Linked DNA regions of Alligator mississippiensis. The protein of the gene in region 1 purifies or fractionates together with the protein of each later gene. This does not show direct contact. Links are inferred from orthologs where the notes say so. Each region holds a gene or a part of one and is shown in the gene's direction. Other genes may lie near its edges.

Evidence for each region.
Region 2: the proteins of IGSF8 (region 1) and CD9 purify together in Homo sapiens (affinity purification with mass spectrometry; 5 studies listed by BioGRID and IntAct, counting the BioPlex papers as one, with this or other methods). This does not show direct contact. The link is inferred for Alligator mississippiensis from reciprocal best matches to the Homo sapiens genes IGSF8 and CD9.

Annotation. Positions count from the first base shown.
Region 1 is NC_081838.1:20,974,266-20,985,954, reverse strand, and holds the start of IGSF8 (immunoglobulin superfamily member 8), read left to right. Parts: upstream 1-6,659; 5' UTR 6,660-6,705; coding exon 6,706-6,790; intron 6,791-10,595; coding exon 10,596-10,970; intron 10,971-11,689. UniProt on the Homo sapiens protein: Member of the immunoglobulin superfamily (IgSF) that links tetraspanin-enriched microdomains to the actin cytoskeleton and plays several important roles in innate and adaptive immunity.
Region 2 is NC_081827.1:140,328,348-140,339,727, reverse strand, and holds the start of CD9 (CD9 antigen), read left to right. Parts: upstream 1-6,890; 5' UTR 6,891-6,975; coding exon 6,976-7,041; intron 7,042-11,380. UniProt on the Homo sapiens protein: Integral membrane protein associated with integrins, which regulates different processes, such as sperm-egg fusion, platelet activation and aggregation, and cell adhesion.

The DNA of each region.
Region 1 (11,689 bases):
CAGGGGCAGACCTGAGCATAGCTGATGCCCCAGCCCTGGGGCCACTACCTGGCATATCTGGGTTCAAGACCACAGGGCCCAAATGGCTTTGACAACCAGGAAGCCAGTGGTCTGGGGGGCCTGAAGGAGCCAGCTGGGTCTGCACAGGCTGGCAGGGGAGCAGGGGGCACTGGCTGTGCCCAGGGCCTGAAGGCTGCCCCAATGACCCACAGCAAGTCAGCGTGGGACCCAGGAGTCCAAGCACCTCGCCGGGCTGTTAACACACCAGGGTGTTTTTCTGGTAATCAAACCCTGGCCTGGCGCCCTAACCACTGGGCCACCTTGCCTCCACTGCCTTCCTGCTGTGAGTTAAAAGCTGTGGGCTGCCAGGACAGGGCTGGATGGCTCCAGGATCCAGGGAGGCTGAGCCAGGGTGTTCCCCTCCACTGTGGACACTCCCAGGTGGCAGCACAGGGTGGGGGGAGTCAGTGTCTGCCATGAGGTCCTGGGTCCCTCACCCCAGCCCTGGGCTGTAGCGCCCTGCTGCTTCAGGCCCTGGCGCTCAGTGGATCGTGGTCCCCATTTGGCGGGGGTGAGGTTATGCCGTGGCACAGCCCCCCACCCTAGTGTTACCACAGGGCAAAGGGCCATGACCGTACCCCTACACCCACCGTCCTTCGCTCTGGGTCCCGGGGGCTAAGGGCAGGGATTGCCATGCTCAGCCCCGGGGCTGTGCTCTGCAGCAGGCAGGCAGGGGGGCAGTGGGCGAGACCAGGGGCACAGGGCTGGGGAAACTCAGGCTCAGCCGGGTGGGGGGAGGTAGCAGGCCCCATGGGCCCATTGCTCTAACCCACGCAGTGTGAACTGGGGAGCAGGGCTCGGCCCAGACACCTATCCCCCTCTATCCACATAAACCCCCTCATGCCCTTTACAACCGCTCCCCCCAAACCCACCTCCCCATCGTGTCCACCCCTCACCCACCCCAGCCGCGCTCTCCTGGCTCCTGTCCCTCCATTGCACCTGGCCCCTTCCTGCCCTCCTTGCTCCAGCCTGTGGGTACATGGGGAATCTCACCCCAGCTCTGCCCACCCCCTCCAGTGCTGGGAGGAAAGAGCAGACGCCAGCTTCGACCGCCCAGCAGCGGCATCCTCTGGGGAGAAGCAGGAAATTAATTGGCATTGACCCGGGCAGGATCGATAGCAGCCGGCCAGCTGGGCAGAGAGCTGCTTCCAGCCCCAGCCTGGCCTGCACCCGTGAGTGGCACACAGACCTCCTTGCACACCACCAGTGTTTTATGCCCACCACCCACTGGGGCCAGCCCTCCTGGGGGCAGGATTGGGTCCTTCACAGGGCTGGCCGTGGGCCTAGTCCTGAGCTGGGCCCAAGGGCCAGGATGGGGGTCTGTGCCCCTGGCCATGGGGCTCTGAGCCAGTTCTGCTCTCATGGCAAGGCTGGGGCCTGTGATGCCCATCTTCATGCCCAGGTGAGAAGCGGGTGGCATGCAGCCAGCTCCTGGGAGCATGCGGGGGCCCATGCTGCCCCTGCAGTGCTGCAGTCTGGCTGCTCTGCTCAGCTCAAGGGGGTTGGCTCTGGGGGCAACTGGCCTGCAGAGCCAGGGAGGCTGCGAGCTGTCCAGAGCAAGGCAGGGGCAGGGGCATGTTCAATGCTCTGCAAACGCACATGTCCCAAAAAGACCAGATCATAGCGCCCCTCTCAGCCGTGGCACTGGGCTAGCAATGCCGGGGCCTTAGCACACCCCCTGCCATTGTGCCCCGGGGACAGCAGGAGAGATGGATCAAGGCCATGGCAGCCACGGTTTGATGTGGTTTTTGGCATAGGGCTCCTGGGGGTGTGGGCCCACCCCTTCCCATCCCCCTGCTCTCACCACCAGCCTCCACCCCCTCAGTTTATTTTTCCCTCTAGCCCCAGGAGGGTGCTCCCCTGGCCCTTGGAGTCCTCCATCCAGCCACTGGCAGCTCCTTGCCCCCCTGGCAGCCTGCTCCCCTCCTCCCTGCAGCTGCCCTGGGGGGTCCAGCACAGGCCAGCAGCTCTGAGATGGAGCAGGCCAGTTCTGCCCCCACCAGCATCTTAGAGACCCCCAAGGCACAGGCCTGACCTCATGGCTATGTCCTGGGGGCCAAGTCACAACTAAAAACCTGGTAGTGTTCAGCCTATAGAGAGAGAAGACTGCAGGCCTTCCTTTCACAGCTGGACTTTTTTGCAAGCTTAGACACAGATTCAGAGGTAGGTACTTAATGACTATCCTTTCTGCACACTGAATCATGCCACAACTACATTCCCCAATGATCCTCCGTTCCCTCTTAGCTGGCCAGGTATTGCCACCACCCAGGTTAGACAAAGAGGCGGAAAGCAGGTCCATACCCCAAGCTTTTATTGATTTACACCCCAAATCACAAGAATAAGCCCCTCCCTCCATGCTTATCACAACAGCACAATATTCTCACCTGCAGCAGCTGGAGAGAGGACAGCGGCATGCAGGCTGGCAGCAGCTTGCTTTGAACGTGCTGCGGTCTTCCCCAAACTCTCCCTGTTTCCACTCAGTTATATGCGGCACAAAGAAATATTCTGCCAGGTGTTGTTGCAGTGGGTTTGTCTGACTGGGCTTTAGGAACTAGGCTGAACCAGCTTTTCTGTGGGCTCAAAAGACACGTTACCTGGGGCCTGTGTCCTTGTGAAAAGGACCGTCCTGGGAGAGAGGACTTTGCTCCTCTGCCCTCTTGCCATGTTTGGTTTCTTTTACTTTGCTGACAAAGCCAGTTGTAAATGGGCAGGCTCGGTCTGGGACAGGGTTTGTGGCCTTCTCTGGCCTCATGTCTGCAGCTGAGCACCAGCCCCTCGAATATGGCCAGGGCTGACAACAGGTTAATGAAGATAAAGGGTGATTTCAATAAAATCCTAGCTGCCCACGGATCACTCGGTTGTTAGCAAAAGGGTAGTTGTCACTTATAGTGGCGGTGATAGCGGTGGTTGACTTAAGTCAAGCAGCAGCTATTTGGCCTTGGCCTCGTTTAATGTTAATGGCTTCCCTACAACATTTTTAGTTTACTTCGTAGGCTACTGTTGTGACTTAAATATAACTTAGTGATTATTAACTGTGCACCAGCTTCAGCATGTCACTTGTAATTTAGGTGTTAGCTTGGCCAGTAGTCTGCTCTCTGCCGGTCGGTGTGGTCTCAGTGCCAAGGCATGTCTACAGCCCGTGACCTGCCCTCCTAGGCACGAACATGCACTGTCCTCTCCTTCTGTAATCCCAACTGCCCCTCTTGGCACAGGGATCCTTGGGGCCATCCCTGCAGCCTCCCACTGCATCCTGATGATTGATGGTGCCTAGGAGCTTCAAAGCGGTGGAAAGGGCCTGCAGGGGCCTGCAAGGTCTTGCAATGCAGCCACCTCTGGGGTGGGACCCAGCAAGCATTTAACAGCCACCCCACATGAGGATTGCTCACCCAGGGTATCCACTACCCCTGGGTGCCCAGGGTGCTGGGCTGGAGATGAGGCCAGGGCCCTGGGTCTGCAGTGCAGTGGGGGTGCTGTGCTGCGGCTGGGGCTGGGACCCTGGGTGTGCAGGGTGCTATAGTGGAGCTGTGCTGGACATGGGGCTGGATGCTGGGTGCACAGGGTGCTATAGAGGAGCTGTGCTGGACATGGGGTGGATGCTGGGTGCGCAGGTTTCTATGGTGGAGCTGTTCTGGACACAGGGTGGATGCTGGGTGCGCAGGGTGCTATGGTGGAGCTGTGCTGGACACAGGGCTGGATTCTGGGTGCGCAAGGTGCTATGGTGGAGCTGTGCTGGACACGGGGTGGATGCTGGGTGCGCAGGGTGCTATGGTGGAGCTGTGCTGGACACGGGGTGGATGCTGGGTGTGCAGGTTTCTATGGTGGAGCTGTGCTGGACACGGGGTGGATGCTGGGTGTGCAGGGTGCTATGGTGGAGCTGTGCTGGACACGGGGTGGATGCTGGGTGCGCAGGGTGCTATGGTGGAGCTGTGCTGGACACGGGGTGGATGGTGGGTGCGCAGGGTGCTATGGTGGAGCTGTGCTGGACACGGGGTGGATGGTGGGTGCGCAGGGTGCTATGGTGGAGCTGTGCTGGACACGGGGTGGATGCTGGGTGCGCAGGGTGCTATGGTGGAGCTGTGCTGGACACGGGGTGGATGGTGGGTGCGCAGGGTGCTATGGTGGAGCTGTGCTGGACGCGGGGTGGATGGTGGGTGCGCAGGGTGGTATGGTGGAGCTGTGCTGGACACGGGGTGGATGCTGGGTGCGCAGGGTGCTATGGTGGAGCTGTGCTGGACGCGGGGTGGATGCTGGGTGCGCAGGGTGCTATGGTGGAGCTGTGCTGGACGCGGGGTGGATGGTGGGTGCGCAGGGTGGTATGGTGGAGCTGTGCTGGACACGGGGTGGATGCTGGGTGCGCAGGGTGCTATGGTGGAGCTGTGCTGGACGCGGGGTGGATGCTGGGTGCGCAGGGTGCTATGGTGGAGCTGTGCTGGACACGGGGTGGATGCTGGGTGCGCAGGGTGCTATGGTGGAGCTGTGCTGGACACGAGGTGGATGCTGGGTGCGCAGGGTGCTATGGTGGAGCTGTGCTGGACACGGGGTGGATGCTGGGTGCACAGGGTGCTATGGTGGAGCTGTGCTGGACACGGGGTGGATGCTGGGTGCGCAGGGTGCTATGGTGGAGCTGTGCTGGACACGAGGTGGATGCTGGGTGCGCAGGGTGCTATGGTGGAGCTGTGCTGGACACGGGGTGGATGCTGGGTGCGCAGGGTGCTATGGTGGAGCTGTGCTGGACACGGGGTGGATGCTGGGTGCGCAGGGTGCTATGGTGGAGCTGTGCTGGACGCGGGGTGGATGCTGGGTGCGCAGGGTGCTATGGTGGAGCTGTGCTGGACGCGGGGTGGATGGTGGGTGCGCAGGGTGCTATGGTGGAGCTGTGCTGGACGCGGGGTGGATGGTGGGTGCGCAGGGTGCTATGGTGGAGCTGTGCTGGACGCGGGGTGGATGCTGGGTGCGCAGGGTGCTATGGTGGAGCTGTGCTGGACGCGGGGTGGATGCTGGGTGCGCAGGGTGCTATGGTGGAGCTGTGCTGGACGCGGGGTGGATGCTGGGTGCGCAGGGTGCTATGGTGGAGCTGTGCTGGACGCGGGGTGGATGCTGGGTGCGCAGGGTGCTATGGTGGAGCTGTGCTGGACGCGGGGTGGATGCTGGGTGCGCAGGGTGCTATGGTGGAGCTGTGCTGGACGCGGGGTGGATGCTGGGTGCGCAGGGTGCTATGGTGGAGCTGTGCTGGACGCGGGGTGGATGCTGGGTGCGCAGGGTGCTATGGTGGAGCTGTGCTGGACGCGGGGTGGATGGTGGGCGCGCAGGGTGCTATGGTGGAGCTGTGCTGGACACGGGGTGGATGGTGGGTGCGCAGGGTGCTATGGCGGAGCTGTGCTGGACGCGGGGTGGATGGTGGGTGCGCAGGGTGCTATGGCGGAGCTGTGCTGGACGCGGGGTGGATGCTGGGTGCGCAGGGTGCTATGGTGGAGCTGTGCTGGACACGGGGTGGATGCTGGGTGCGCAGGGTGCTATGGTGGAGCTGTGCTGGACACGGGGTGGATGGTGGGTGCGCAGGGTGCTATGGTGGAGCTGTGCTGGACGCGGGGTGGATGGTGGGTGCGCAGGGTGCTATGGTGGAGATGTGCTGGACGCGGGGTGGATGGTGGGTGCGCAGGGTGCTATGGTGGAGCTGTGCTGGACACGGGGTGGATGCTGGGTGCGCAGGGTGCTATGGTGGAGCTGTGCTGGACACGGGGTGGATGGTGGGTGCGCAGGGTGCTATGGTGGAGCTGTGCTGGACGCGGGGTGGATGGTGGGTGCGCAGGGTGCTATGGTGGAGATGTGCTGGACGCGGGGTGGATGGTGGGTGCGCAGGGTGCTATGGTGGAGCTGTGCTGGACGCGGGGTGGATGCTGGGTGCGCAGGGTGCTATAGTGGAGCTGTGCTGGACACGGGGTGGATGGTGGGTGCGCAGGGTGCTATGGTGGAGCTGTGCTGGACGCGGGGTGGATGGTGGGTGCGCAGGGTGCTATGGTGGAGATGTGCTGGACGCGGGGTGGATGGTGGGTGCGCAGGGTGCTATGGTGGAGCTGTGCTGGACACGGGGTGGTTGCTGGGCGCGCAGGGTGCTATGGTGGAGCTGTGCTGGACGCGGGGTGGATGCTGGGCGCGCAGGGTGCTATGGTGGAGCTGTGCTGGACGCGGGGTGGATGCTGGGTGCGCAGGGTGCTATGGTGGAGCTGTGCTGGACGCGGGGTGGATGCTGGGTGCGCAGGGTGCTATGGTGGAGCTGTGCTGGACACGGGGTGGATGGTGGGTGCGCAGGGTGCTATGGTGGAGCTGTGCTGGACACGGGGTGGATGGTGGGTGCGCAGGGTGCTATGGTGGAGCTGTGCTGGACACGGGGTGGATGGTGGGTGCGCAGGGTGCTATGGTGGAGCTGTGCTGGACGCCGGAGGAAGGTGGTGCCAGGCCGCCGGGCTGGGCCCCGTGTGGGGCGCCGCGGGCGCGCGGGGCTGGGCCGGGACCCGCGCGGTGGCCCAGGGCGCTGCAGACGGGGGTGGAGCCGGGCTGCGGCGGGGCGGGGCGGGGCGGGCCGTGGTCGTGGCGGTGGCTGTGGGGCCGGGCGGGGCTTCCCTGAGCGGAGCCGCCCGCGCCGCCATGGGAGCCGCCCGGGACGCGCTGCCGCGGGGCGCCCCCATCCCGCTCCCGGCCCCCATCCCGATGCTGCTGGTGCTGCTGCTCGGTGAGCGGGGGCGCTGCGGGCCGGGGGCGGGGCGGGAGCTCCCCGTGCAGCTCGGCCCGGCCCGGCCCTGGCCCGGGGCGCGGGTTCCCGCCTGTGGCCGGGCCAGCGCGGGAGCCTCCGGGGTGCGGGGGGGCGTGTACATGGGGGTGCGCAGCTGTACGTGTGTGTGCGCGTGCATGGCGTGCACCCGCGTCTGTGTGTGCGCGCGCGCGTGCATGCATGGGTTGTACACCCGCATCTCCGCGTTTGTGTGTGCATGCATTGGGGGGGTGTCCCCATTTTATGTGTGTGTGCACACACATGAGGGTGTACACCCACTTCATATGTACGCTTGCAAGTGCATGGGGAGGTACACGTGTGTGTGTGTGTGTGTGTGTGTGTGTGTACGCGCGTGCATGCATGGGGGTGTAGAGGCACGGGTGCGTGTGTGTGCGCATGCATGGGGGCATACAGGCATATGTATGTGTGTGTGGGTGTGCAGGTGCACATGTGTGTGTGTGTGTGTGTGCGTGTGTGTGCACATGGTGTGGGTGTTTCTGTGTGAATGTTGTGGGGGGTTGGTGGGTGTGCATGGGAGGTGTGCACACCCCCACATGGGTGTGCATGTGTAGCAAAGCTGGCAGGTGCCTTGACTCGTAACCCCAGTGTTCCCCCCTCCCTTCTGGACCCTCCTAGCCCCGCTGCCACCGTCCCCAGACTGCTCCAGTGCCCCCTCCTTGTCTCCCTATGCTGCCCCCAGGCCTGGCTGTGCCCCGAGGGCACTGGGGGCAGGGAGAGGCCACCAGGCACATCCCAGAGCTGACCCACATGGGGTAGCAGGGTCGTCCCCCCCCCCCTCCCCCGCATGGGGCAGTGCCACCCGGCAGCCCTGGAGATCCAGCTGCAGGCAGCTGCTGTGCCCGTGGCTCAGGCCCCAGCCTCCCCCCACCTTCAACCTCTGTGCCCTGCCCCTGCCCTTCCCTGTACCCCCATGCCAGCCAGAGCCTGGACTTCCCTTGCCTCTCTGCCTCTAGTTCAGGGCCAGGGGCTGAGGGAGGTGGCTGTGGGGCTTTGCCAAGGCTTTCTGGCCCTGGAGCCAATGTTTTGTGCCAAGGAAGGTGACTCACTCCTGCCTTTTGGCTCCAGGCAGTGTTGAAACGGATGGGCGGGAATGGAGCTCACTATGGAAAAAGAATCGGGCAGGGCGGCGGCCAGCTCCCCCTTCTTTCTGGGCCTGGCCTCTGTCAGCTCCTCTGCAGTCCTTGGGCCGGGCCTGTCCCCCCCCATCCCAGTATGAGATGGATCAGGGACACTGGCTGGACTGGAGCCCAGTGGGGCAGGAAGGGGAGGTGGCAGCTGGAGCTGGGGAGAGAGCCAGGTGGAGGGGGGAGAGTGTGCACAGGGCGCTGGGCAGGCGGGCGGGTTGGCTGTCTCTGTACCATTTCTCTGCACTTTCTCTCCCCTGTTGCGTGTGCATGCATGTCGGAGGGGGACTGAGATAGGTTGCTCCGTCTGCAATAACTCTCCTGCGGCAGGGGCATGTGCTGGTGGCTACACTGGGGTCAGGGTGCCCTTCCCTGCAGGGAAGTGGGCTGAAAGGGTGCAGGGGAAAGCAGGGCATGAACCCACCTGTGCCCGTGGGGAGCAGAGGCCTGGCAGGGGTAGGGGGGTTAGTGGCAGAGCCACGCTGGGGCAGGGTGAAGGAGGTGGCGGGTGCTCTATTGCGCTCAGGGCCCTGGTTCCCTGGGCCCTGCTCCGTGGCCGGTGCCTGGGGCCGGGGCAGGCTCTGGCACCTGGGCTGGACCAGCCTGGACCCAGCACGGCTCGGGGAGCGCTGGGCCCAGCCGCCCGTAAGCTCCGGATTTGCAGCCCTAAGCAGCTCTGCTGCAGCCTGTGCCATTGCAGGTGCCTGTGGGAGCTGGAGCCAGCACGCCTGCTCCCTGCCTCTGCTCTCAGCTGTGCTTGACACCAGCACTGGGGCCACAGCGGCAGCCGGAGAACAGCCCAGGGCACTGCCACCCACTTGGTGATGGCGCGGGGGAAGGTGCCAGTGACAAGGCTGATGCCACCCCCCACCATACATCCCCTGCGCTGCCAGCAACGCCATCTGTGCCCTTCCCACCACAGCCATCTGCTGCCCCCTCCCCCACAGTGCCCAGCGCAGGGAGCTGTCTGTGCAAGCTGCATCTCACTGTGATGGTCTCACATGGGAGGCAAGAGGTCCCCCAATGCCCCTGGCTCATGCACCCCACTTCCCTGGTCCCCTGCCTTGCCCACACCTCTGCCTTTCCCCTGCAAGCCCATTCAGGGAGACGGGCTCTAAAAACTTGGGTTTGGCCGTGTCCTGGAGGCAAGGGACTCCCACTTTTAAGGTTGCCCCCCACTTCCCCAGGATGGCAGAGTTAAGCAGAGGTGCTAGGGGTGCCTGGGGAGTGGGTATGGGGTGTCCCCCCATCTGGCACTCTGCCCGTGCCCCCCCAGCTGCCCCTCCCAGTCTTTGCAGCTGTGGGTGCTACAGTGGCCCAGTCTGGGCCAGGGATCGCTGGGTGCTCTCTGTCAGGGGAGCTCTGGGTTGAATGGAAGTGGGGGTGGGGGGTTGATCCATGGCGCAGGGCATGTCCCCTTGCTCCACGCAGCCACCCTGACGGCGTGAGCTGCGTGCTGAGCAGCAGCATGTGTGACCTCTGTCCTCGCCAGGCTGCGCCATCCCAGCCCCCCACCCCCCGCTGTGGCCTGACCCAGATTGGAGAGCGTGATCCAGCTGTGCAACCAGGGGGAGAAAGGGCCTTTGTGCCTCTGTGGGCTGCCCACGGGTCGCCTGCCCGTCGCATAGGGCAGGGGCTGGCAAAGAGGGGAGCACTTGGGAATGGGTGCATGGGCCTGGTACTGCGGGCCCCTGCGTTGCGGAGCTGGGGCCTGGGTTTAGCCACAGCCCTGCGGTGGGTGGGGGCAGCTGGAGATGCAATGGGGGGTGGTGATGGGCTCTCTCCATTCAGGTTTCCCTGCACATGAGGGTTGGCTGGGCTGGGTCATGGGGCTAGGGGCCCTGGCATGGCCCTGTAATCCCACTGGTGCCGGACCCTGGGTGCTGGTACCGCTGCTTGGGTCCCAGGCTGGCAGCGCCATCTAGGTCTGCTGCTCCCGGCTGCTGCCCAGGGACCTGGTCCCAGGGAGGCCTGAGTATTGTCTTTGATGGCAGGGCCACCTTAACGTCTCAGGGCCTGGGCCCCTACAGGGTGCGGGCATGCAACAGGGTGGGCAGCTGGACTGGCCCTGCCCCAGGGTGCAGCAGGAGAAGGACATGCTCGCAAGGAAAGGTCTAAGGTGACCACAGGGTGCCTCACAGCCCAGCCTGGGCCTCACCTCCTCCCTGCCCCAGGGCTTTTCTGGAAGCTGTTGTATTTTACAGCTGCCTCAGGGCTGCTCTGCCTTTCCCAGGGCAGTGCTGGCTCCCTCACAGTGCGGAGCAGGGGCAGTAGCGCAGTGGAGACCCCTCCGGCAGGGGTGGGACACCTGCCATCCCTAGAGCTGGACTCCTGGGTTCCCACCTCACTGTGCATGGGTGGGATGTGGGGCCCAGAGCTGTATGTGGGAATGGGGGGGCGGGTAATGCACGGGAGGACCTGGGACCAGGCAGTGTATGTGACTGTGAGAGGGGTATGCATGGCTGGGATCCTGGGGCTGCGTGGCTGGAGTTTAGCAACCCCAGGTGATACGTGGCAGGGGTTGAGCTGCAGGCAGGGAGGGGGCTGTAGAGGTCTGTGGCCCCGGCCTGGTGCAGAGAGCCCCACCCGTGCCCCCAAGCTTGACTGCTCTGTCTCCGCAGGGCTGAGCACAGCGCGGGAGGTGCACGTGCCGCCAGGGCCCCTGCTGCGGGTAGAGGGCACAGCCGTGGCCATCCCCTGCCACGTGACAGAGTATGAGGGCTCCACACTGCAGCACTTCGAGTGGTCCGTGTACCGCTCAGCTGCACCCACGATTGCCATCGGCATCATCAGCACCAAGGACCCCGCCTTCCCCTACGCCGTCTTCAGCTCCCGCGTGCAGAGCGGTGATGTGGCCATGCAGCGGCTCCGTGGGGACGCCGTGGAGCTGCGCATTGCCCACCTCCAGCCCGAGGATGATGGCATCTACGAGTGTTACACTCCCTCCACCGACTCCCAGTACCACGGCAGCTACAGTAGCAAGGTGGCGCTGAAAGGTACGGTTCCCCACACAGGGTGAGGCGAGGCCACCTCCATTCAGGCAGCAGTTGCACCCATACAAAGGTCTGGTCTTGGGTGGGTTATTGGTACAGCTGACCCTGGATCACCCCAGGCCCCTGGTTCACGACCTCCTCTGTGCCAGGTGCTGTACACACAATCCCTGCCCCAGCCAGGGGTCATTGTTACTGGGTTCAGCTGGCAGCTACCCCACCTCCTGCCTGGGCGGTGCCTGGGATGGATCCTGGTCCCATGACTGCAGCAGCTCCCCCACCCCCACAGAGATGTGTCATGTGCTGAAAGCAAACAGCAGCCGGATGGGAGCTAGCACCAGGCTGGGGGAGGGGGGCACGAGGCCAGGGGGCAGCCCCTCCAGGGGCATTCTGGGGCTCCCTCCATAGCCCTCTGGCTGAGCCCCTATGCCACAGGCTGCAGGGACCAATGGGGGGCTCAATGCAGGGCATGCTCTGCCCCAACTCTGGCCATAGTGGGAGTCCAGCTGTGGGTCAGAGGGATAGCAGCTTGGGGGGGTTGCCTGCTGGGACGTGGCAGGGATGATCTTACCCTGGAGAGGAGAAGACCAGGTTCCTCTTTCCTGTGGCTGAGCTAGTCCTGGGGCCACCCCGGGCTCTTGGGGAACTTCCTTGGGCCTTTCCAGGGGAAGTCTGTCCCTGGGTTAGATTGAGTGCCCAGGATCCTGGACTCCTGGGTTCTTTCC
Region 2 (11,380 bases), on another chromosome or scaffold:
CTCCCCTCACCCCGCATGTGCCTAGCTGGGCTCTGCTCGCCACTCGTGGTGCTGGCCAGTGCAAGCTCTGCCTGGGACCGCCCCGCATCGCACCAATGACCCGCACTTTCACTGCCGGCTACTCCTCTTCCCACACACACCGTGTTGGCAACGTCAAGCTGGCGTGGTGCGTGTGGGAACCTTGTCCCTTCCCCAGCCCTTCAGCAGCCATTAGGAAGCTGCTGAGGGGCTGGGGGAGGGACAAGGGGTGGGAACGAAAGTAAACAGCGTTTACTTTTGTTTCCTGGCACAGCACCACAGGCCACAGAAAATGGCTTGGCGGGCCACGTGGCGGCCCACAGGCCATATATTGGACAAGCCTGACTTGGAGCAACGTGAAAGGTTGATCTGCTTTATCCATCAACCTCAGTATCAACGGTCAAGCTCTACAGCCACCAGTGCTGAGCACAGCTTCCCTGGACCCAGAGATCTGGCTGACAGCTACGTTCATGTTGTTGGAAACTCTCCCAACTATGCAATACATATTTATATGTATAATATGTAAATATATTTATATTTCGCAGAGACAGTTATGACCGCATACTTATCACAGCCACAAATTCCACAAAGGCAAAGTGATTTTCCAGACTACTGTTTAAAAAATTCCTTCATGAGATTTTGTCCTCCCTCCCTCCTCCCCCACCTTTCCTCTCCTTTTCTTTCCTAAGTGATTTTGGCCCTTATTTTGTGTGCACTAATGCACACGATCAGCTTTACTTGCCTGAATAGTCCTATGAAAATCATGAGCTGGTGCTCAAACTTAAAGCCCAAACCTTACTGTTTTTGGCTTGGGGCAGAAGTTGTATGAACCAGTTTGAGTTCAGTCAGTTAAGTCTGATACTACATTCAAGGAGGTTGATCTCAAACTGGTTTTGGCCATTTAGAAACCAGTTTATGTGCACTAAACTTACATTGGGTTACAGGTTTAAACTGGTTTAAGTGATCAGAAACTGGAATATGTGTAATGTCTTGGCTTAGTATAAGTTCATCATAGTGGAGTGTAACATTTAAAATTATTAATTAAATATAAAATGCTGTTAAAACTATTTTATTGTAAAATAAAAAGGTATCTAGCTGACTTCCCATGTTCCCGTGAAAACTAGATGTTATGAGCCATAATTTTCCCTTAAAACTATGACCTTTTCTATTTTTTCCCCTTTGTAACAACTTGTGTTAAATTATAGGCAATTGCATGTGCCCAATTTATCCAAAAAAAACTTAATCCCACACATTAACCCTAGCTGGGCATGTTTACATATGCATTAACTAAAGCAAGTTAATGCACATTAAATTTAGTACCTCTGGGCATTTGTAAACATGCTTGTGCCACAGCGCTCGGTGCTTTTAAAAGCACCTGGTGCTGCCACACGTGCCATTGTATAAGCAGCGAAACACACGTCAGCACTAAGAAAATGGCGGCGGTGCGCTTTTGAACTAAAACACCTTTGATGTGTTTTAGTTCAAAAGTGCACTGCCACCATTTTGAGTGCTGGCACACATTTTGCTGCTTATACAACTGCATGCGAAGCAGCACAGTGTGTGTTAGCTTGCATGTCGAGCAGACTTGATTAATTGAGTCTTCTCTGATGCGCAGGATTTTGTCCTGTGACACATTGGAGAAGGTAAGTGTATAAATGTCCTCCATTGCAAGTAGATGCACACCTATAATGCACAGTGAATATGTACATGTAGATGTGCCCCGTTCTTTAAATTTCCTTTTCAGTGGGTGCGTCTACACGAGCTTTAAAGCACATTAGCCTGTCTTAATGCACATTAACTAAAGAACAGTTTAAGTGGCATTTAATGAGCATTAATTAAAAAGCATGGTTTTAGTGACACTTTAATGCACATTAAAATAGGTTACTTATGCATGCCTGTACTGCACATTAAATATGGCCACTTGCACCAACTTGAGTATAAGTTTGATACCCGCATCATGCAGGCATCAGATTCATGTGCGATTAGTTTCTGCACTGTAACACATCTGTAGACTTTTTAATGTATGGTAACACTGTGTGTGGACTGACATGATAGAGAGAGAGAGTGTTCCGACTATGAGTTGTTTACTGCTTCCCATCAATGTCTCTCAGTATCAGAACACCCACTTAAAATTAATAGCAATAATGAAGTCCCAAAAGAAGTCTCTGGTACCTCTCTCTTGAGAGATGACAGACAATCTGCCAGACCAGACAAAATGGCTAGAGGCAGTAAGAAACCATTCAGAACTGAACTGCTGTTATGGTTATCAAACTCACAGCACATCTATCAGAATGGACAATGCTCAATCCACTTTTAATTTTTACTCTGAAACCAAGGCCCAGAATGAAACTGATTTATCCCTGACTAGTAGGACTTTTCCTTGACAGTGCCAGATGTGTGCTCATTCTTCCTTGCTAGCAACCCTATGTGAAATCAGTGATTTTCTGGAGGAAAGGAAGACTAACAGAACAGAAAATAACTAGCCAACATCAGTCAAATGCAGATGATCATCACCAACACCCTCAAGAATCATCTTATTCCAAAGTATTCCTTCAGAGGAGTTCAGTTTCAGTTTAGAGTATCATATGCTGTCCAGTCCAAAGCTCAGTGACCTCCTCATCCTTGTTGTCGTAAAAGAAGACTGTTGCATGAGAATGCCAACTATTTTTATTTCAAATGCTTGAGAAAGTGAATTTTGACCACCAATGTATTTTCTCCATTATGCTTTTCTATGGTGATCTTCATGAAGGCTCTTCTATGCAAAGCATTTCCCAATTGCTTGGAGATACCTCAAGAGGTCTTTATCTAGCACCCTTACAACTGCAGATGTGTCTTACTTATCAGAGTAGGAAATTGAATTGAATTAAATCAAATTGAATTAAACACAAAATTCTTAATGTTCACTGGCATTATTTTGCTAGTCATCCTATAAATGGACAAGTCAATTTTGCATCTTTATATTTCCATGTACTGTTTCAATGGAGTTACACCAGGCAAAAAAAACAATTTACAGGAGATTTTGACTTATTAAAGCTCAATTCTGCTGTCAGTCAAAAGAGGTACAAGAGTTCCTGTGGACTACAATAGAAGTCTAAAGCTACATAGCAGCAATTCCATGTTGCCAAGTCCAAAGCAATGTCCCTAGAAGATCCAGAGGCCCCTACACTCCTCCTTAACTCCAGGATGGCAGGTCCCTCCAGGATTACAAAATTTAAAAAACAAAACAAAAACCCACAACCAACAGGCAAAGAAAGATGACATGAACAGCAACAAATGTGTTCTTCATAGAAAGTATAGGGAGAAGAAATGGGGAGATATTTTTTGGATAAGCAAGCCATTAACAGTTTCTAAAAGTTCCTGTTCATATCCAAAGCATTTGGTATTTCAAGTCATGTAAGTTTTGCCCAACTTCAGAAAGTAGGCTTCGTTGTAACCATAGCGCTAAGAGAGTGGTTTTCCCCTCTGTACTTTTCAAGCTACCATAGGAAGTTAAGGACATCACTATTATCCACACTAAATAGGAAGTAGGTGAAAAACAATAAAACTGAAATATACAAAAGATATTTTAAAGCTTCTCCACTGCCACACAAAGACCAATCATACAACCAAGAACAACTTACAAGATTTTTTTTTAAGTACCCATTAACAAATTTTGATCTTTCTAGACACACATCATTGCAATAGGCATACAACTTCACAGATACCCTATTAACTAGCCACAGTAACAAACTACACATATCTTTCCAGAGTGCAAAATCATGGAGCTTCAGCTCTACAGGTCAGATAACCCACCAGTCTTCCTAAATTATCAAAGGTTACAAAACACCAGAAAGCAAGAAATTTAAAAAGAAATTATCCAGCAAGTTTTCAAACTCCCAGGTCCCCTGCTATAACTTCAGGAAAAAACAAGTCAATAACCAGCTTCATGCCTAATATCTACCGCAGGTGTAGTAAGTAAGAGTTCATTGGGGCCAGAGGCTTTCACTAACCCCGTTTGTGGTCAGTGCCAGGTGTGTAGAACCCCCACCCCCTCATCATAATGACCAAGTGTGCCTCTCTCTCTCCTTTCTCCCAGAGTTGCATGTTTTTCCTTCCTTGTTTTCAAATGAAAGAATATCTTATTTGCATTTAGATTTTTTGGTTTTTCGGATACTATCTCTATTTTATGCCTTCCTCAGTTGCATTAGCTTCACATTGTAAAGCCTTATCTTAGAAAGTTCTGACAAACATTCATTACGGGAGTCCTTTAAATTTTGACAATGCTAATACTAAAAACCTTTTATTTGCATTTCAATCATGCTTCTTTGGGTTTCCACAGCAGAATCTGATTTACAGGTTTAGCAGGTGTAAATTACCATAGCAAGTAGGCAATGGCAAATTTACAGCAGTGGAGGCTCTGGCCCTCTGTTTCTCTTTATAGGTTGCAGTCACTATACCCTTGTCCATATTTGAGGACTGCAGCAGTTACCTTTATTTAAAAATCAACCTACTTAAGCTGTTGCAAACTCTTAATACCTAAACTGGTTTAATCCATACTTAAGTCACTTCAGTTTGTGATGGAGAGATACATACATCAGTCTATCTTAAATTGGTAAGCAAGGGCTAAACTAGTTTGTATTGGTTCAAAACAAGGATGCTACAGCACCCTGACATCCTTTCAAGGATGACATGGAGTGCCACACAATGTTGGTATTGTTAATTGTGCAAACATGATTCACAAGATAAACACAGAGATTTCAAATGAAAATCCATAATGTCAAAACCATTTTGACCTGTTGTGGTCTTTGAGTTCTTTGCAACAGAAGAATTGCTCTATTCTTTTTCCATACTCAAAAAATGAGTGAAAATTAAGAGCTGGCATGCGGTGCCTTGAGTCTAACAAGAGTTACCTTGAGTCTCGAAGAAGGTTGAGAAGTTTGCATTTTGTAAGCATCTCTCTATACTTGCCTACTTCATTGCATTAGAATCATTTTCTAGAATTTTGCACTACCAGGATGTCTAGACATCTAACTTATTGCAATTTTAAACCTTCATCTCAGTGAGCAGTAAATCCAGTTGCTAGGGTTTTGCTTAAGATTTTGGACGGATCTTTGAGGAATGCTATCCTGGAGTGTCTTTTTTTTTTTTAAATCTGAGACACATAATTAAACCTGTTAGTCTGAAATTAAGTAGAAGGCCGGGCAGATTTGCATGTTATAGACTAACAGAAGTGTGTGTGTGTGCATGCACGTGTGTGTGCATGTATCGCGCACACATGTGTACACACATGTATATACACACGTATATACACATGCACACACATGTATATACACAGGCAGACAAGGTTCCTTGGGTGAATTTGATATCTTTTATTAGACCAACCCAAATGGTTGGTGAATAGTTATTAAGCAAGCTTTCGGGTTCAAAAACCCTTCGTCAGGCTAAGGAAGCTTCTTCAGCAGTTGGTGTGTGCTCTTCCTGGATGGTGTATATACACATACATTTATATCTATATATAGATATATATCTACACTTATACACACATACAGTAGAAAGCTTGTGCTTGCTATCTATACGTGTGTATGTATATATATCCACTTACATACACATATACATAGATAGCACAAGCTTTCCTGAGCTGAAGTTCACTTCAACCAATGTTGTGAAAGGAAGTGCAACAAGCAGTGTAGGAGAAAGAACATTTTTTCTCCTTTTCTTCTTCTACACTGCTTGTTGTATGTCCTTTCACACCATTGGTTAAAATTAGCTTCATCTCATGAAAGCTTGTGATTATACTTACAAACAAAACATGAAAATGTGCCCCTCAACCTCAAGAAAGCAGGATCTTAGGGGTGGCAGAAACCTCTAGTTGTATTTGCTTCCCTCCCTGCCATTTCTCTTTATAGGTTGCCGTCACTATTGCCTTGTCCATATTTGAGGAGTGCAGCCATTCAGTTATGTTTATTTAAAATCAATCTACTTAAACTGTTCCAAACCCTTAATACCTAAAATGGGAAAAACACAGGAAAAGGGCAGAGCAACTGCAGGTGCTTCCTCAGCATGACGAAGGGTGATTGTGTCTGAAAGTTGCAAAGAAGAATTTTTCCAACTGTTTGAGTGGGTCTAATAAAAGATACCAGATTCACCCAAAGAATCTTGTCTGCCTCTGTCCTTAGACCAACACGGCTACAACCTACACCCCTGCAACATGGCAGATATATATACACACACACACACACACACACACACACACACATGTATGCACACATGCATACATACGCCCACACACATACATGTGTATGTAGATCTGTACGCATGTATACACACACACACATATACGCATACAAATATACACATATTTGTAAGCCTATATGTATGCATGTATATATAGCTAAGTGTGTGTATGTATGTATCGATATCTATCTATATAGCCATATGTATGCCTGTATCCATATCTTTTGGGGTGTGTATACATGTGCATGTGCACAGTCATCTGCATACGCACCTGCGTAGCCATAAGTATACACACACACCCCGGGGTTAGTCTATACGGTGCAACTCTCCGGAGCCTCCTGTCCCAGAGCGGTGCCCGGAAAGCTGCAAGCCCTGCCGCGGCTCTCGACTCATGTTCTGGGAAGGGGGCAGCCAACACCGCTCCGGGGCTCCTTCCCGCTTCCGACCTGGGTTCTCGGGGCTGGGGGCGAGGAGAGGGAGCCTCCGCGGCCGCCCCCCACGCCTCTCGTCCCGCCTTGCAGCCCCCGGCGCCCGTCGAGCCCGCGGGGCGGGCGCGGGACGCGGCAGGGCAGGGCAGGGCAGGGCAGGGCGGGGCGGGGCGGGGCAGGAGGGAGGGGGAGGGGAGGCGCTGGACTGCTCCAGGGACTCGCCCGCATTTAAGGCGGGGCAGTGCGCGGCGTGTCCTTCCTGCGTCCCGAGCCCCGCTGCAGCTGTCGGACCCCTTTGGCTCCTGCAGCCGCTAGGATGCCGGTGAAAGGAGGCATTAAGTGTATCAAGTACCTGCTCTTCGTCTTCAACTTCATCTTCTGGGTAAGGGGCACCCCAGAGCGGAGGGAGGGTCCAGGGGTTGGGCTCCCTGCCTTGCAAACTCGCCTCACCGGAGCCCTGGCTGGGCTGGGCTGCCCCCCCCGCGCGCTCTGCCTCAGGCTGGAGGTGGCTCCGGGCGGGGGGACGAGGGGCCCCAGGGAGCGGAGCCTGGAGCCGAATTGGGTGGGAGGAAGTAGCCTGCACAGCCCCTGGAGCTGCCGAGCAGTGCCAGCTCCACAGGTGCCTGATGCCATGCAGGGGGCTGCACCCTGGTTGCAAAGTGAAGTGGGGCAAGCTAGTTTTGCAGCCTCTTTAAGAGAGGTGCTCCGCACCCCAGGAGTCCTGTCCTGCCTCTGGAAAGTCCCCATCCCGCAAGGCTTTCTCCTCGCCCTCCCCAGGGCTGGCTCAGCTCTCTCGCTTTTCTCTCTTGTGTTGGCATCAAGGCTTCTTCTCTGTCTGCCAGAGACAGGAGCCACTCTGCTTTCTGCTTCCCTGGGTCTCGGGGGGGCCCTGCTACCTGTTGCACACCTTGCACCCTTGACTGGCGTGAAACTTGCACTGCCCTTGCTTGGTTTGCTAAGCAAAATGCAGCGATAAGTGTCCCGTTTTAAATGTGGCCCGGCCACACCTGCCACGTCGGATCAAAGTGACTCTCCCAGCTCTGAAGATGTTAGTAGTTGGTGCCTGAAAACTCGTTTGGGACCACCTTTTGTTTGAAGCTGGGCCTTTGGGCAGAGGTGTGAGGGCCTGCCTGAAGTTCAACCCTGACTCCCCCTCCCCAAGGTGTCTGGGCTGCTCTGGAGGATAATCTTTGAGGCCCCTTCCAACCCTGTGATTTAGGGCTATTTATTTATTATTGCTATCTTTTTTTAACGCTGTTTCACTTCCTTGTTCCTGCTCTTCTATAGGGCAGCATAACGTGGCATAGCTTTGTTTTCAATCTGGGAACACACTGAAGATGTACGCAGGTTCCCCCAGCAATGCAGGCGCAACATGGAGTCCAAGAGTTTGTTCCTGAGAAGTTAAACTCTCTCTCGGCGAGACTTAGCTGGTTGAGTTCTTGGATTTCTTTTTATGTGCCTTCTTTTAAAGCGATGTGCTAAGATGCCTTGCAAAAACAGGATGAGACAACAACTGTTTTTGCCTCTGGCCACACCTTTTTTTCTGTTTAGTCTGAATTCAGTTGAAGCGCTCTGTGGTGTTTTGCTGGTAGGACCTTCCTTTGCAGCTGTTGGGATTCCTCTCTGACATGTTTAGAGGTGCAGACCTTGAGTGCAGGAAGTCTCAAATGGGTTGAACTCCATGGAGCACAGTAACAAATTGAGGCAGGTCTTCAACCTAGCGCTGCACAACGCAAGGGCCGTCGGTAATATCTGAAAAAAGTTGTGAGATTAGTTGATTGTTAGGCAGAAGGTGGGGATCTCGTAGACTAAATTGTTCAGAGAAGGAGACTTTAGGGGTAGCTTCATCAAATTCTTTTTATCCCTTTGAGTATTTAGAGGGATCAACTGTATTTCTATCTGTTTGCACTGCTAGGTAAAAGTCTGTCTATGGCTGTAAAATAACAGTGAGGAACTGGCTACCAAGGGAAAGTAATAGATGCTTCTGCGGACTCTCTTTAAACATCTGGCAAAGTCAAGTTATGAATCGAAGGCAGTTGCTTCTGGGTACATCCAATAGTATGTGTGAGCAGGTGTCTGGGGATGTGGCTTGTTTGTTGTTTTTCGTGTGTGGTTTTTTTTGTTTTTTTTTTTTAAATCTACTTCCTATGCCAGCTTCAGAGAAACATCTTTATGAAGTATTTTAAAAGAAGTGATTTATAGTAGGTCTGTGAAAAAAGGGTATTTACTTAGAGTAAAGGTGGTTTTTAAAGAGGATATGGGAAGGCCACATGGTCCATAGCATTCTGAGTAGTATACCATTACTAAGATCTTATTTACAGGCTTGAATAAATGGGTGCCTTAGGCCCAAATGGTAAATTTTAGCCCTGTAACCAGCCAAGGCAGAGCACTCAAGGGAACTCTGTGAAAAGGGAGAGGCAGAGACTGTAGGAAGCAAAGTATGTACAAAAAAGCAAAGGTTTTTGCATGTACTGTATTTGCTAAACATTAACTTTTGTGTTTGGGGGAAGGGAAGCTGTTTCCTAGGCTAATTCTTATCCCAGGCCTATGTAGTCAAACTTATGGTGTCTTTGCTCGCAACTGGAATGGTATTTACCTGAAGGCTAGATGACTTCAATAAATGATTCTTCATGTGGTTCTTTGTCAAAACCACTTGGATTCGGCAGCAAACTTACAGTGCAGCACTCTGTTTACTCAGCAGTGCTCTGCTATGATCTGCAACTTGCACAGGCTGCTAACTTTGTGAATGCAGTTGAAATGTCTATAATTGGTAAGCAGCTGAAATGCTACTGAGAATATCTTTGCCAATGGTGCCAGAACAGCTGTGAAAGGAGCTCTCCCTTAGTTCTTGGAGCATTAATCTAAGTTTAGTGACTAAGGATTAGCTCTAGGCCTAGACTTTTTATTAGATTGTTTCTTGTTCTTTTCTTAAAAAGAAAAATAAAAAAAAAAAAAAAAAGCACTGAAATGTGTGCTGGTTGGTTGGGGATATAGGATAAGAAAAAGAATGGTGTATATTTTAGAGTAAGTTTGGTTTATAAATGCAATTTGGCCTGTCAAGATGAGATAAATATTTGGGAGTTGGGAAGGCAAAGGAGAGGATGGTGCTCAAGACTTGTTTGCCTTCCCTCCAAGTTGACCTTCATCTGATGAGGTCAAGGTAAGCTATTGCTGAAAACTCTCTAAAGCTGGAAACTGGCACATAGACACTCAATCATAGCATCAGATTTCAGCTAGCCTGGCTTATTCTTATTAATCTTAAATTTCCAGCCTTAGCTACTTATTTATGTACAGTACCTGTGGCAACTGCAAATGCATTCCCTGCATATAGGGAGGCAAGGATTAGCTAACTACTGGAGGTGATAGTCAAGAAATTTTTTTTTTTTTTAAAGGTTTAAGTGGTTACATGGCCAACAATTTATTTACTCAATCTATCACATGTAGTTCTATTCTAGAACTTTATTACTTCGACTCTTGGCCTTACTCAAGGGGTTACTACGTCACCTTGAACCTTTGAAGTGACCTGAATCTGTCCCCACCTCCAGGCAAAAGAATTTCTGGAGAAACTTGCACTGCGCTTGCTTGGTTTTTTTGCTAATCATGATGGTGTTCTGTTGTGCATTGATGCCAATTGTGAGCTTCCTTCCACCACTCCCTTAATTTTTGGCTTTGTCCCTGTTCAAAATTGCGTCCTAATTTAATTTTAAAACTTTGTTTTTATTTAATGAAGTCATTTTTCTTTTAAGAGTATGTGGGCCCCGTTTAGACTGGTTTAATGAACTTGGCTTAACTTGGTAAGGAATTAAGTAAGAATCATATAAAACGGGTTCAAATTGGAATTCAGAGAACCTCCACTGAGTATTACATTAATTTAGTTAACTAACACTTCTAGTCAAATAGTTGCAACTTCAGCCTGAAGGACATGTCTGTTTCTTACTGATGATATGAGGGCATGTTCCACTTCACTATGTTTAAACAGCCTCTTTTAAGCTACTTGTTACACATGTCCAAGCTTAATCTCCTCCTTTCCTTATCCGGGCTTGGTTAAGTTTCTTATGTGCTGAGCCTGGACAGTTGGAATGGAGCTGAGGAGCTGCTTACTACAGGGCAGTAGTTCTTAATCTTTTTTTTTTTCTTGAGGCATTCATTAGAAAATGTCAGCTTAGTTTTTGTTTGTGTTTGGCTTTGTTTTTGTGAAGGTACGAGGAGGAAGCTATATAGAACTTTCAGCCAGTTGTTCAGCTGTACATTACCTTTGTGGCTTCTGAAACTGCAATAAAGTCATGATTTGGGGTGGGGGGGAGAGATATATTACTTGACTGAAAGTTCTGGTTAAATGTCTCTTTCTCTGGACCTTGCCAAGTATTTGGATATGGGATTGGGGGGGGGGAGAAAAGGCTTTTAAGTTCACATTTTATTTGTATTACTAGGTCTCTAATTTCTCCCTAGTTTATAGCTTCAAATTGGTAAAGTGTGTTACATGGAAGTTGCATACTCTCCTGAAAAAAGTTCAGGGCCCTATTAGTTTTAGTGTGGAAACAAACTAAAGTGCAAAACCTAATAAGTAAAATGCCATCAGCTCGCCATCCAGTGCGCAAATCAAAGCTTAAGTGTTATGACTGGGCTAAGCTCCTTCAAGATCTTTGGTCCTAGTGACTGCCTCCAAGTCAAATTTTGACTAGTGCTTGTGTAAAACATTCACAATAAGATTAATGATTTCT